Linked DNA regions of Caenorhabditis elegans. The protein of the gene in region 1 interacts with the protein of each later gene in a pairwise test. Each region holds a gene or a part of one and is shown in the gene's direction. Other genes may lie near its edges. The genes, in order: let-607 and jac-1.

Region 1 (7,630 bases):
TGATAGAAGAGTTGTTTACGTGCAAAAATCTCACACAGAAAACGTTTCTCAATTTTATTCTCATTTCTTTCAACATTTCAATAAGTCAATGAAATAGTGCTTGACAGAAGAGACGGAGAGAAATAGAGATGTTCGTAGCCCTGGGCGCTCAAATTTATCGGCAATATTTCGGACGACGCGGTGAGCGGTTTTTGGATTCTTGTTGTTCTCTTTTTTAATTTTTTTCTCACTGGTTATATTTTAAATTTCTCGAAACAAAATTGATCGATGATCAAACTTCTTATTTGATAACGAATCAACAGTTTTGATTTAATTCCATTTTTCATAATCTCGTCATTTTGTTTTGCCTTTTTTTTAATTGTCCTTTTTTCTTTCTAATACCTATTTTTATATTAATTGATTGCTAATGTTTTAATTTTAATGGAGGTTACATTTAAAAGTTTTGCTCCGAATATATTTGAAAGAAATTCCTTCACAAGCATCATCTAGTATTTTTATTCTTTTTATATTTTGTGCGAGAAATCACAATCCCCCTATAACAGCTAATAGTTTTCGCCTTTAAACTCAAAAATTTTTCAATTTGCATCATATTCCGATATTTTTCAGGAATGGCGATGGCAAATAACAGTTCGGTGGCCAATAAGGTCTGTCTCATCGTTATTGATGGATGGGGAGTTTCTGAAGATCCTTACGGTAACGCTATTCTCAACGCACAGACACCAGTTATGGACAAGCTGTGTTCGGGTAAGATTTTATTTATTTCAAAATTGTTAACCCAAGAACATTTTTCCAGGCAATTGGGCTCAAATTGAGGCACATGGTCTTCATGTTGGTCTCCCAGAAGGATTGATGGGAAATTCGGAAGTCGGACATTTGAACATCGGAGCCGGACGTGTTATCTATCAAGACATTGTTCGTATTAATCTGGCAGTCAAGAACAACAAATTTGTATGCTTCCAATATTATTTCAGAATATTATATTTCGTAAATTTTAGGTGACTAATGAGAGCTTGGTGGATGCTTGCGATCGTGCTAAAAACGGAAATGGACGTCTTCATCTGGCCGGACTTGTTTCTGACGGAGGTGTTCATTCTCATATTGGTAATATTCATTTATTTATTTTCAATTTATGATTTTTCTCATTTCAGATCACATGTTTGCTTTGGTTAAGGCCATCAAAGAGCTCGGAGTTCCAGAACTTTACCTTCATTTCTACGGAGATGGTCGTGATACTTCTCCAAACAGTGGAGTTGGATTCCTTGAACAAACCCTCGAGTTCTTGGAGAAAACTACTGGGTTAGAATAATGTGATAATTTATGGGGTTATTCAAGTAGTGTCGGAAAATTAAAAAGTGTAGAAAAATTACGCCACAACTGTATTCAAGTATATAAAAACATGTATTTAAATACATTTGTGACGTCACAAATATATTTAAATACATTTCGCTACATTACTTGAATAACCCCATTAGGAAACATGTTTAAAAATATTTTCAGATATGGAAAACTAGCTACTGTAGTTGGCCGCTACTATGCTATGGATCGCGATAACAGATGGGAGCGTATCAATGTTGCATACGAGGCAATGATTGGAGGTGTTGGAGAGACTTCCGATGAGGCTGGGGTATGATTTTAGCGTATAAACTGATTAACAATTCAAAAGACGAAGAATGAACAGTTTTGGATTTCGTTTAATTATAATTTTCTAGGTATCAAAAATCATTTACTAAATATAAAGTAGTTTTCTTCCGTACAATGTATGATATACCAAGATGCAAACTTTTCACTTTAAATCAACAAAAATTCAAATTCATTTCAATTAAAAATGTTTCCGAGAGAAATTCGAATTCTAATTTCAGCAAGTTTAAATAATATCTAAAATTATCATTTTCCAGGTTGTTGAAGTTGTTCGCAAGCGTTACGCTGCTGATGAAACAGACGAATTCTTGAAGCCAATCATTCTTCAAGGAGAGAAAGGACGTGTTCAAAATGACGATACAATCATCTTCTTCGACTACCGTGCTGATCGTATGCGTGAGATTTCTGCAGCAATGGGAATGGATCGTTACAAGGATTGCAATTCGAAGTTAGCTCATCCATCAAATCTTCAAGTATATGGAATGACTCAATACAAAGCCGAGTTCCCATTCAAATCGCTGTTCCCGCCAGCATCGAACAAAAATGTATTGGCTGAGTGGCTCGCCGAGCAAAAAGTTTCGCAATTTCATTGTGCGGAAACCGAAAAATACGCTCACGTTACATTTTTCTTCAATGGAGGACTTGAAAAACAATTTGAGGGAGAAGAAAGGTGTTTAGTGCCCAGTCCAAAGGTAATACTTTGATGATATAACTTCGAAAATTGAATATTTCCAGGTCGCAACTTACGATCTTCAACCAGAAATGTCTGCGGCCGGCGTTGCTGACAAAATGATTGAACAACTCGAGGCTGGAACTCATCCATTCATTATGTGCAACTTTGCTCCACCAGATATGGTCGGGCATACGGGAGTCTATGAAGCTGCTGTCAAGGCCTGTGAAGCTACTGATATCGCAATCGGAAGAATCTATGAAGCAACTCAAAAGCACGGATACTCACTTATGGTTACTGCTGATCACGGAAATGCTGAAAAGATGAAGGCTCCAGATGGTGGAAAACACACTGCTCACACATGTTACCGTGTTCCACTCACTTTGAGCCATCCAGGATTCAAATTTGTCGATGTGAGTTTTTGTCAAACGTTTGAAATTTTTATTTAAAAAAAAACAGAAACCCATATGTTAAATGAAAATATTAATTTACAAACGGGTGTAAATAGCTATTCACTTCACACGTTTACAGCCAGCCGACCGTCATCCGGCCCTTTGTGATGTTGCTCCAACAGTTCTCGCTATTATGGGACTCCCTCAACCAGCTGAAATGACTGGGGTCTCGATTGTTCAGAAGATCTAGATTCAAGTACAATGATTTCAATATTCAAGTTCTATGAACTATATTTTCTACAGTATTCTTTTGTCCAATTTCTTCCCAATTACCTACTATTCAATTCTGTTTATAGTCTGAAAATTTTTATGTATTTAGATCCTTAAATTAGTATGAATAAAATTATATTGCACTGAGAAAATATTTCATTCATTACTATGACCTGTCGGATGACTCATATTCTATTTGCTATTTATGTTTTTTTTCTTGCTCCGGAATGAGCTCTGTAGTCAGTTGCTCAACATTTTTGAAGGGTCAATTGATGGTGACATTTGGCCAATAGACACACTGAGCACATCTGCGGAGCACTCTGACGGCTCGCAAAAGATTGATTTGATCGGACTTTTACTGGGACGAACTGAGAAAAACCATTGGTTTTCTCTGCGTCTCTTAATTTCTCAAACTCTCTTGATTTAGTATCTTATCGTTTCTTCTAATGCTCTCTCTGTGTGACATTTTTCATTATAGTTTCTCGAAAATTCTTTGGAGAAAATGTTGCTAGCATTTTGATGTCACTTTCGTTTGAAAACTCCAGAAACCTCGCCTTTTCCTTATCGTTTTTTAGCATCACTCAGTTAAAATGACCTATTTGTGCCACGAACCCAGTTTTATTGAGAAAAATCGAAATTACTAGGTGAAATTCTATTTTTCGTTGACTTTGAATACGTGTTTGATCGAATTTTGATGAAGCAAAAAACATGAAAATTACATGACCTTGCCCTAGATACGTGGCTACATGGCCTGACCTTTTAATTAACAGAAAATTTTAGGATTTTTTTAGGATTTAATCAGCAGATCATAGATTTTAAAGAATTACATCGTTTTTTAAATCTTCAGAATATTTTTCTGGTTTTTAAGTAAATGTACATTTTATAAACTTTACAAAGTGTAAATAAGAAAAATTATTTTGTTGAGAAAAAAATCGAGCATACAAAAATTGAGACCCGAAGAACTCGGGGGATGTCCTATTGGGGGGATTACCAACTCGGGGGATTGGCCCCGCCCACAGAACCGTGGCTTGCAATACGCCCATTTCTGCAACTGCCGCACGGTTTTAAAACTGTATTTTTCTCAATAGAGCGAGAATTAACAAGAAAAAATAATTTTAAAACCGTGCGGCAGTTGCAAAAATGGGCGTATTGCAAGCCACGGTTCTGTGGGCGGGGCCAATCCCCCGAGTTGGTAATCCCCCAATAGGACATCCCCCGAGTTCTTCGGGTCTCCAAAAATTCAGAAAACTATATGGAAAAGGAAAAAAGGCAATTGGACATAATAATTTTTATATCCTTCACAATTTTCTGAAACTCAGAGATTTATTCAAATGATTTTTTGTTGGTGTTTTCAGTGTCCACTTTGAAAAAAATTCCGCAAAAGTTTCCGCAAATTGTTTTTCTCGTGGCGAGACCCATCCGAAAAAATCCGTGCGCCTTTAGAAACGCATTACGGTACTTGTCGAGGCTTCTTTTTCAAATATTTACGTTGAATTTGTGTTTTCTTCGTTATTTTCAGATTAATATAATATTAATCCATTCAAATCTTTCAGAAACTTCCCCAAGCGGTCTTCTCATCTCAAAATTTGCCACGTGGCCACGCTCTCTTCTCCATAAATCTGAAGAAGGTGGGTTTTCAGTTAATGTTTATCTTTTAAAATTATTTAAATTTCCAACAAAAAAAAAACAAACGAAGTGACGTTGTTAATTCAAATGCTCGCGTCATTCCTCCACTAAAGAGTCCAGTATTCAGGACTTTCTCTCTTTTTTCCTCTTCTTCTTCAATTCTAGCTCTGTTTATGGAATAGCCGTTTTTAGCTGCTCTCCCCGTTTCGCTTTCTTTCCATCTTTTCGTTTCCTCAATCCAAATTATATTTTCACTTCCCTTTTCAGCTTCTTTTTCACTGTTTCTTTGCTGCTCGCTTCTGCATTCATTTCCGCCCACATTCAGTGAAAGAAAGCTCTTGACATTTATTTTAGTCAACGGATAGCAGCCAGTTTTGGGCTGAAAATGGATAATTTACACTAAATACTCGATAGCAAAAATTCAAAAAAAATTATGGAATTTCTGTCTTAAAAGGGATTCGTGAATTCTAGAACTATTTCGTATCGATCATAAATTTTATAAATCCCCTAAACTTTCGAATATCTGTACATAAATGTAATCCTTTCCGATTTTGTAAAACCGGTTTCCTGTGGTGAACGACTTGTTATTCTACAAGTTTTCTTAACTTATTCTCGAACCTTCTCCTTTCTTCTTCTTCTTCTCATTTTCCTTTCCGTCATCTTTCCCGCATTGAATAACAAGATCTACATACCGTTAGTGATTCCCTTTTTGTGTAGAAATACAAACGATTTACACGAACAAGGAAGTTTGTACCGAGAGAGAGAGAGGAACTTGGAATGGAAGAGAAACATTATTTCTCTCTTTTCACTTCCTAATAAGAGAATGAATATAATGACCAGAAAGCAGTAGAGAAGAAGCCAGAAGTGTGTGGACAAGCGGACGCGACGAGATTATAATTGATACGGTTTTCGAAGATGAAGTGACAGCGAAAAGAGGATGAAGCCCGGTTTCGGTGCGATAATGATGAGGAAAAAGTGAACGGATTTTGAAGATTTAGGAACTTTTATTTGAGAATATCACTTAAAAATGTTGAAAGATTTTGGAAATTCAGATTTTCTCGTTCCGGGGCCATAACTCGAAAAATTATGAAATATTGTGCGTTCTTTGTTGAAAAATTAATTTAGCCTTTCAATAGCTCAATTATGAAACATACATATATCTTCAATTTTAAAAACTATCCTCTATTTTCATTGAAATCCGATAGGAATGTCAGTAAATAAAATATCAGTTGAATAAAGCACGTGCTCATTAGACCGAAATGGCTCATCTCATTTTCCATCTCCATAGATAATCAAAACATTGTATTTGTTTGGTTTGAAGATTAATTCTTATTTATAAATATGATTTGAAAATAGGAGAAAATTTTATGTTTTTGAAGTGTGCTCACAACCGGAAAATCAAAAAAATTGTAATGACAACTAGGGTACGGTATCTATGAGTAATTTCCACGATTACCTCTTTGAAAGTATATGAAGCCAGTTAGTATTGTTGTTTTTCGAAAAAAATTTGCTGTTTCCCAGATTCCGTATAGTTTTTTTTCTTGTCACTCGTTTACATAATTACATCCACTCCTTTGGCTTCTTCTGCTTCAAGTTTCCATTCGTTTTTTGACATGTCTCAGTTTGAAGTATGAATTCTTTTTTCAATTGTTATTTATCCCGTTCTTCGTGTTGGCATTTCTTTTCTGAACATAACTGGAACTAGAGCGTGGATAGACTCACAATCTATTTAGATGATGTCCATAAAACACTTGGGATCTTTAACTTACACAAAATATATGTGCGTCAAAATATGAAAAAATAATAATATTTCCGGCTGATTCTCCGTTTTCCAATATTCCCGTCAATGGCCTGCGTTCTGTTCTGATTTTTTTCATGGCCAACAATAAAATATTTATTTTTCACTTTCCTCTCCATCTTTCTTTGCAATATAGTTATTCCTGTGGTTCTTTTCACTTTTTTCATAGAAAGTTCTGCGATGAAATTGGACGGTTTTGTTAGCTAAATTTCAATATTCTAGATCCACCAAAATACTCTATTTGCATATAATAAGTAGGATGTACGTACCTGTATAAATATCATTGCTCTCTTTCACAAAACCCGACAGTATCCATGAGTCATTTGCGTCTCTGTTATGAATGTATGGTATATGTATGAATTACGCACTATTCCTCTTTTTTCTGTGTTCTCTTGTCCGGCTAGCTGAAGTAGTAATAGTAGTACTTGACCAACAGTGAAAAGTGTGATCGACGAACGAATACCGTCATATTCTGGTTTTGTAGAGGTTTTTGGGAAATAGTGTTGGACGAAAACTTTCAATACATCCAAATTCGCATTGAATTGTCATTACTTCAATCGGTTTTTTCTTTTAATATTTTTGCCTGGAGTACCGTTTTTTAGCGTCAAGGCTATAATCTAGTTTTCATGCTGCTATATATATTTTTAAAACTATTTTGTACGTGGCCTTCGATAATTTCGGCTCATCTTTCACTGGTTCTCATGGCAGTTTATATTATTTGCGCGATCTGTTTGTGGGATTAGCGCACCTAAACGGATAACCCAAAGGTAATGTCGGCATGTCATCCGTCTCAATCAAAAGAAGCAAAAGAGATGGCGCAATAACCTTTCCGAGATTTGATTGGAGAAAAACGAATACAGTTTATCGCATTGCGGACGTCATGTCTCCGGGTAACCTGCTGGGTAATTGGAGGCGGCAAGTGTTCTTGAAATCTCAATTGATCTAGAGGGGATCAAAATGAAATTCTAGAGTAATCAAACAGATATGAGAACCACTTTATTACCATTCTTATTTTTTAGCGTTCTCTTTGCGGCCCACGTTAGATTAGTTGATAGAATATCTCACGAAAAGCCGATTCGAATTGGAACTTTGATTTCCTAGATGTCACCTAAACGACAGCAGTGTTCCTAATTCACACCCACCTTCTCAAAAGTCAAGACATTATGTCCTTGGAACATGGAACCTTAGACAAGTCCTTGGAAGTCTGAAGAAAACCACTTGTTTTTCTTATTGGTC
Region 2 (7,630 bases), on another chromosome or scaffold:
TGTTTTTCAAGTTTTTAGTCAATGACAAGAATAAAATTCTGAAAAATTCAATTCATTTTTTATGATTCAAAAGGTTTAACTAACAAGGAAAGGAAGTCAATCTAGTCCCGGACTTCGAATCGAGACGTATGTCATTTGAAAGCTTATGGTTAGCCTAGATCACCACAAAAATTTTAGCGGCGGAACTCAACTCTGAACCCCTGAAAGCGCCATCTGAAAATTTTTCTCTGCGCCCTCCTAGTTTTCAATACTATTTCGTATTTATTCATTTTACATATACAAAAATCATCTTCAATATTTATAAAATGGTTTAAAACATTGAAAACAATAAAAATCAGGGATTGATGTCCGAATGGTAAATGCTTGGTAAAACGGAATAAAGGTCTCGTGTTCGATTCTTTCAGTGGCAATTTTTTTTTAATTTTTAAAAATTGCAAAAAATTTTTTTTTGGTATTTAAAACTTTCGAACTCAAAATTTCCAGTCCCATATATTTGACCGAAAGTAGGAGCAAGGCTTGTGTTTGGGTAATGTAATATGTTGCACCGATGCTTTTTGAAGGTTTGAATATGGCTTCGGACCTTTTTGTGAAAGAAAAACGTTTTCAAAGGTACATCCATTACATATTTCAAGCAATTTTTAAGCTTAAAAACCACCTCATATTCGGTGCAAAAGGCTCAATTGGAAGAAATTTGTACCTTTTTATATGCCCCGATACAAAAAAATAGTTTTGAAAATTTTTCAAAAAAAAATTTTTTTGACCAAAAATTCACTGTTTCAATGAATTGACATAAAATAAGTTGGAAGTCTCACATTATTAATTTCAGGATTTGAATGCTTTTCATTGTAACTTCAGAGAACAACTCTGATTTCGAGTCATTATTGGTTAATTTGGCAGAAAGCTCATTGAAATATATAGGACGGTATAATTCATTTTGAAAAAGTTTCAAAAAATTCCACTGTTTCAAATGATTGATAAAAATGTACAATTTTTAAAAAGTTTATTATTTATATGATTTTTGCCATTTTTTCTCCGCTTCACAAATTACTTGAATTGTTTTTTAATTTCACAGCTCTCTGAAAAAGTTAAAAATTTCATTTTTCTCACATTTCCCACCGAATGCAACACCACCTGCACCGCAGGTGCACGCCTCGAACAACAACAAAAAACGGAACATTTTTTCTCTCATTTTTTCGTCTATCTCTCTATTTCTCTGTGTAATGTGGGAAAATGTTTGATTTCAATTGAAATTGTCATCCGAATCTATATTCGAAATTTTAAAAAATATGAGTGATTACCATCGAAATGGCGGAAATTATAGGGTAGGTGAATCCCAGATTAGTGCATGCGTCAGTAGATTTCCAAAGTAGGAATGGGGAGTTTTTTGGCTTTTTTGGACGATTTTCATGAAAATTTGTGGAAAAATTGTTTCCAAAGCAAAACAAAGTTGCTCAGCATTTTTCAAAAGTTTTATAGACGAATTGAACCTAAAGCGACAAAACAAATCACTCCGCTTGTCGTAAATTTTTATACTAACTTTTTGAAACAGTAATTTTTTGTAGTTTTAAAAATTTCGTTTTTTTACACTTTATACGCAGTTTTATTGGAATGATATTTTGCTGTAAGCAGGCACACTTTCAGGCATGCGTGCCTGTCAAACGGCCTACGCGCTGGCCTAAATAGTTGCGCGTGAAAACAGATATTTGTTATGTTTTTTACAGAATCTAACCACATATTACAACTGAAGCCTATTTTCAGATTTGTTTTGTGGCAAACTTATCTAAAACTCAATATTTAAAAAGTTGTATTCCCGCCATTATGCAGACATTGAAACAGTGGACTTTTTTTTTGAGAAAATCGTGAAAAACAGTGGAATGGTTCAATTGATACTTTTATTTAGAAAAAAATACTCTTCAAAATATGTTTTAAGTATTCTCTTTGAATTTGTGATAAACATGGACGGAACTATTTTTAAAAATTTTCAGAAGTTAAAGACATTGTGAAACAGTTCAAACTAAATTCTTATTTCGCAATTTTTACTAAAAATTCAGTTTTTTTTAGAAATACAAGGGCTCACCACGAATCCTCTCTGATGTTTCCAAAAAAATTTTGCTGACTTGAACCCATTCCGAATGTTTAACAATATTTGTTCTAGAAATTATGAGCATATTGAAATAGTCAAATTTGTTTGTTTTTAAACAGTTTCAATATAGAAAAATCATCAGATTACATTGTCATTTGTGTTAACCAACTTATGAACATACTGAAACAGTCAAAATTTGTTTTTTTTTTCAAAGATTGTTTCAATTTCTCTACTGTTTCTCAATTTCTCAATTTCTCTACAAGCCTTATATATCTGATTCCGATTGTTGAAACTCGTTAGTTTTCTTTTTTTTTAATAACTGTAGTAAATCTTTGAAAATGACATGAAACAGTGCTACAAATTTTTTCTAACTAATTCCGATTGAACCAGAAAAGTCAAATTTTATGGTTTTAACTGTTTCTAAGTAGTTTCTGCTAGTTTTTAACTGCAGCTAAAGAGACTTTAGGAAATTTCTTCTAACACCTGTTTTGCCGTACCCCTACAGTACTACCTACAGTAATACTATCAGTACTGGTGATTGAGAGACGCAGCTGCGATATCTTGTTCCGTTCGAAGGCCAACAATTCTCATCATTACAAGTTTTGAAAACATGATGAATATGAAAAAGTGAAATTTTTCTGAAAAAAAAACGCAGCCGACATCGATCGAGGTTCTGTTGTTGTCTGCGTCTCTTAGCTGGGAGAAGTCCTAAAACGCTATTTACAATATTTTAGGGATTACTGTAGGGTTATGTAACAACCGAAGAAAAGAAACCTAATCGGCAGGAGCTGATGAGTTTGATTTAAAATTTGCATAGCCATTTCGACAGCAAACATTTTAAAAACAAAACCTCGCTTAAAATGAACATTTTGAGATAAAACTTCACATTAACTTTGTCTTTAACTTTGAAAACATTTTGAAACAGAAACAATTTTAATCCTAAATTTTTTTCAAATTTCCCACCAAAAAGTGCCTTCTCTTACACTTTTCCCACTGGGATCCTCAGCGGCTCCCTCCAAATCGCGGCTCATCAATCTTGCTCAAAAAAAATTTATTTGCACCCACCAATTGTCTACCACCTCCGATGGGAGACGGGTGCTTTGATTAATAATTATGATATTTTTGGTTTGGCTTTTTTTGGTTTTACTGTTCTTTTCGAAAATAGAAGTTTTGGAGCATTTTTATATTTTCCATGAATCTCGCTATTAAAAAAAAGACAATTTTGGAAAAAAAATTTGCCGTTTCAAAAGTAACATATAAACAAATAAATTTTTTAACTTGCAGTATGGTGTTTACTTGAGTAATTAGATTTGTTTCCATCCTAAACTTTCTTCCACGTGGCATATTACGTTGAATTCTTACAGAATAATTAAAATTATTATTAAAAATTTGAAAAAAATGACTTTTGGATGAAAATGTTTGACTTTTCCCAAAATTTCATCTGCATTTTTGTAATATTACTCGGTTTACTAACAGTTCTTCATAATTTACGGTTTTTTTTTCAAAAAATGATATTTTTTAAAAAAAGCTTTTTTTTGAAATTTTTCTACGAAAATTCCGAAATTGTGCAGAAAATCGTCAAATTCGTTTTCAAAATTTTTCAATTAATTTAGGAATTTTTGATTGTTAGAAAGTTTCTCAATGAAAGTTTTAAAGAATTACCAATTTTTGAATGTGAGCTGTACTCAATGTAGAAGCAAATTTTACGATAATAAATGGATAACTTGAAACATTATTTTTCAAAAAAATTTCTACAACTGCTGAAAAGTTAATTTCTTAAGAGGAAAATGTATTATCTTCGTCGCATAACGTTTTTTGTTGCTAGAAATCCGGAATACGCGTTGATTTCTGGAAAAAATTGTGGAGTTTTTTGCATTTTCGAAAAAACAAATTTCACCGTTTCAGAAATGTCTTAAATCGTTTTGTTTTCAATTGAAAAACGCTTCGATTTTGAGAAAACTGGCCGTTTCAAGAATTATTCAAAAATCGGTCTGTTTTGTTCTCTACTCTACTGACAAGTACTGTTTCAGAATGTTCACAAAAAAAGCTAATTTTATAATAAAACTAATTGTACTACGATGCAGTAAATATATATTTTTCGTATGAAAATTCTCACTTCACTCAAAAATTGATTAAAATTGTCATAATTAATTTTGAGATTTCTATTAAAACTGCTAATTCAAGGTTTTAACAGAATTCTCCATAGAATACTAAAATTTACAATTATTCCTGAATGCATATCAAAATGTTATTTTTTCTATTCGGAACTAGATCACGTAATTGTTCGTGAAATTTTTGCAAAATAAATCGAAAATGTGAATAGGTGAAATTTTGTTTTAAAAAAAAATTTTGAAAAAAATTCACTTTTTCACATAGTACTCATAAGCACTGTTATAAAACCATATCTGATGTCTCATTGTTAACATTTTCTCTCAACTCTCCGTCCACTTTTTAAATAATCAATAATTCCTCCTCAAAATCCCAACATTTTACAGATGATCTCCTCGGGGTGGATGCAAGAAATGGAGCCCATACCAGAGGAGGGAACCGAGGCGGATGGCTCCGAGTGGGGAGCTATGTCGGATACCGCTAAAAGGACGATGCGAAAGAAGGAGGTGTACACTTCGGAACAGATTAATACGCTAGTTAGGTTAGTTTTTTTTTTTGGAATTTTTATTTTTGGGAGGGGTTTGAAAGAGATCTCAAAGTTTGAATTAATTTTGAAATTGAAAAAAAAAGTTTTGCAGTTTCTGGTTCTTGAGAAGTAGTACAAGGAAATAGAAAAGCACTTATTTTTGAAATCGAACTTCAAAACCAGAAATGAAAAATTGATCAAAAACTAACTTAAAAATTGGGCATAGAACATATTTATTTGAAGAAAATTAAATTTTCAGCCAACAAAATGTTCTAAAGTTTCAAGTTCCTTAGATATCACTGAAAATATCTAAGCTCTTTTTGACATCAAAGAAAAACAGATAAGTTTTTATTATATATGATCTCGATTTTTTTCTCTGAATAATCTCACACATTCAAATTGATACTCTTAAAATTAAAAAAAAACAAAAGAAATAACTGATTGCGTATTAAAAAAATAGTTAAAATTCCGAAACTAGAAATTAAGTTTAAAAATTAAAAAAAAAACTGTTTCTAGTTCTTAAGATATAACTGCTCCAAAATAGAAGGGCAGTCTCATAGGGTCTCGTTGACAAGCTGAAACGAAAGTAGTGTATTTTTTCAAAAACGAACTAATTCTGCATAACAACAGCAAATCTCGGCTTTTAGCTAAAAAATCTAACACTTATTTTTACTTTTTCTAGTTTCCCAAATAAAACCTTTAATTTTCCATTAAATATTGATTTAAGTGCCTGTCCTTTCTAGTAGTACTGCATAGCTTACGATCTTCTCTTTAAAATATTTATGAAAATCCAAAATATTCAAAGCAATAATACAGAAAGTGTTTTGTTCTACAATTTGGTATCAACTTTTTTCTACTGTTTTTACACCTTAAGATAAAACTGCTCTGAATTGAGTGACATTCTCGCTCTTGAACAAAACGCAGAGAAATCAACCACTTTTTGACCGTTGTTCCACCACTTTTTGTAAAACAAATTACTGGTTAAAAGTTGCCTATTTCAAAATTTTCTTTCTGAAAAGTAGTAAAATATTTCGTTAAAAAATAGAAAATCGGAGTTTGTCAAGGAAAAAATTTTGGAAACTTTTTTCCGACTGTTTCTATTGCTTAACATATTAGTTCTCGAAAATAAAAAGGCAGTCGGAAACCAGATATATTTTGAAAGTTGATAATTTCTCTAAAAGCAACCTAATTCTGCATAAAGTCGGTATTCTAAAATTCTCGACTGCGAAAAATAAATTTCTACTGTTTCAAATTGTTTAGATAAAACTACTTAAATTGATTAAAGATAGTGCCATTAATTCATCCGATATTCCCATCTCACCTCTCTTTAATTCCCTCCAAAAAAGCCGTTTCAAAACCCTAACCGCCGCCAAATACAAACAGTCCGTCCTATTTTTTCCGTTTTTGCATCGGATTAGTGTTGTGTCTTCCGTCTCTCCAAATCCCACACTATCTCTCAGCCAGGTCTACAAAATGTTTATTATTGTCATTAATATTCGTTTCGGCTATGTTTTATTGGTATATCATTGGATTGGAACGACGACGCTAGTGGTCATTTATTGCAACTTTTGAGTTGCGGCAAAACTTTAGAAATTGAAAAAAATAGTTTCGGTTTCAAGGGTTTATACTTTTTTCCGAACATTTTTGGTTATCAGATCCAAAAATAGTTAAATCTAATTTTTGTTTGACAATGTATATGCAACTGAAACTGCAAAACCAAGTTAAAAATTTTTTAATGTAACCAGCCTACCATAAATAAGAATAAATTGAACATTTGAATGTTTTAATAGCAGTTTTTATTTAAGTGTATTCCAAGTTAATTTTCTTCAAAATTTGCAAAAAAAATGTTTGCTTAATGAAAGTTTTATCGAGGCCACTTTATTTTGGCAAAAAAAACTATTTCAATATGTTTTTTAACGACTTGCAAGTTAAACTCATATTATTGTTACTTAACCTTTGAAATAAATTTGACCCATATAAGTTTCATAATATACATGGAATCCTTGCCTGAAAATTTTTTAATATTTCAAAATAATTAAACGGTGAAAATTCATAAATTTGCTTTTAAAACTTCAAGAAATTTCAATTTTTAAATTAAAATTACTGTTTCAAAACTTTGAGAAAATGTTTCTGATTAGCTGTTATTTTATTGCACAATTGATAAGGATAAAATGAAACAGTAAAACAGCAATTTTTAAAAACTTGACAATTGGTTCCCGATGACGTCACTGGAAATGCAAGGATGTGCAAGGTGTGAGTAATCGAAAATACCCTTCCCTTCCCTGTCTCAAACGGTCCATTTCTCCACGGCAAACAAGAGACCATCTAAAACAATATGTCATTTCCCTCTCTCCACTCTGCGTCTCACACTCTCTTCCCGCACGTTGGCACTCTGCCAAAGTGTGTAGAGAGAGTGGAGAAATAGAGAGTGAGACAGAAGGTTAAAAAGGTGTGAGTGAGAGAATGTCCTCGATGAAGAGAGGGGACGAACAAATGAATAAATTGCGTTCGCCGTTCTCATTTCCGATGACTTTTTGTTCTTTTACTGTGGAGAGATTTTCTGAAGAATGGGAGACACTTTTTTTCCACTGCTTTAGATGTTTCTTTGAGCATGTAGTTTTGTAAACGACGTTCTCTACATAAAATTGATTTTAAATACAGTTTTTTTTGCTAAAATTCAACAGAAAGATGAATTCTAAAAAAAAAAGAAAAAATTGTGTAAAATCCTGTTTTTTTCAGTTTTAACTATGAATATTCGAAAAAAAAACTGTTTCAAGATGTTGTTGAATTTTCTTCAAGTTTTTTAGTTAACTGTTATTTTGTCTAAAATTTCTCTAAATACTATTTTTAGATATTTCACATAACAATTTTTCTTCTTAACATTGTTTCAAATAGATCATATATTTTCGAAA

What was found.
Region 2: the proteins of let-607 (region 1) and jac-1 interact in a two-hybrid assay, tested with the Caenorhabditis elegans proteins (one study listed by BioGRID).

Annotation. Positions count from the first base shown.
Region 1 is NC_003279.8:6,569,481-6,577,110, forward strand, and holds the start of let-607 (CREB-H transcription factor homolog let-607), read left to right. Parts: upstream 1-4,523; 5' UTR 4,524-4,598; intron 4,599-7,630. Other genes in the region: ipgm-1 (2,3-bisphosphoglycerate-independent phosphoglycerate mutase), read left to right, coding at 129-180, 607-744, 794-948, 996-1,101, 1,149-1,296, 1,498-1,624, 1,896-2,330, 2,374-2,721 and 1 more. UniProt on the Caenorhabditis elegans protein: Probable transcription factor, required during migration of the gonadal distal tip cells (DTC). Probably regulates cell adhesion of DTCs via modulation of expression of genes involved in integrin-mediated adhesion, including tln-1, src-1, and integrin pat-2.
Region 2 is NC_003282.8:16,023,796-16,031,425, reverse strand, and holds the start of jac-1 (Fibronectin type-III domain-containing protein), read left to right. Parts: upstream 1-4,578; coding exon 4,579-4,733; intron 4,734-4,872; exon of another isoform or gene 4,873-4,897; intron 4,898-4,993; exon of another isoform or gene 4,994-5,014; intron 5,015-5,037; exon of another isoform or gene 5,038-5,058; intron 5,059-5,270; exon of another isoform or gene 5,271-5,291; intron 5,292-5,436; exon of another isoform or gene 5,437-5,457; intron 5,458-5,619; exon of another isoform or gene 5,620-5,646; intron 5,647-5,797; exon of another isoform or gene 5,798-5,818; intron 5,819-5,855; exon of another isoform or gene 5,856-5,876; intron 5,877-6,004; exon of another isoform or gene 6,005-6,028; intron 6,029-6,374; exon of another isoform or gene 6,375-6,395; intron 6,396-6,658; exon of another isoform or gene 6,659-6,682; intron 6,683-6,831; exon of another isoform or gene 6,832-6,852; intron 6,853-6,863; exon of another isoform or gene 6,864-6,889; intron 6,890-7,530; exon of another isoform or gene 7,531-7,554; intron 7,555-7,630. UniProt on the Caenorhabditis elegans protein: May act as a positive modulator of hmr-1 function during epidermal morphogenesis. Required for proper localization of other junctional components, such as pac-1.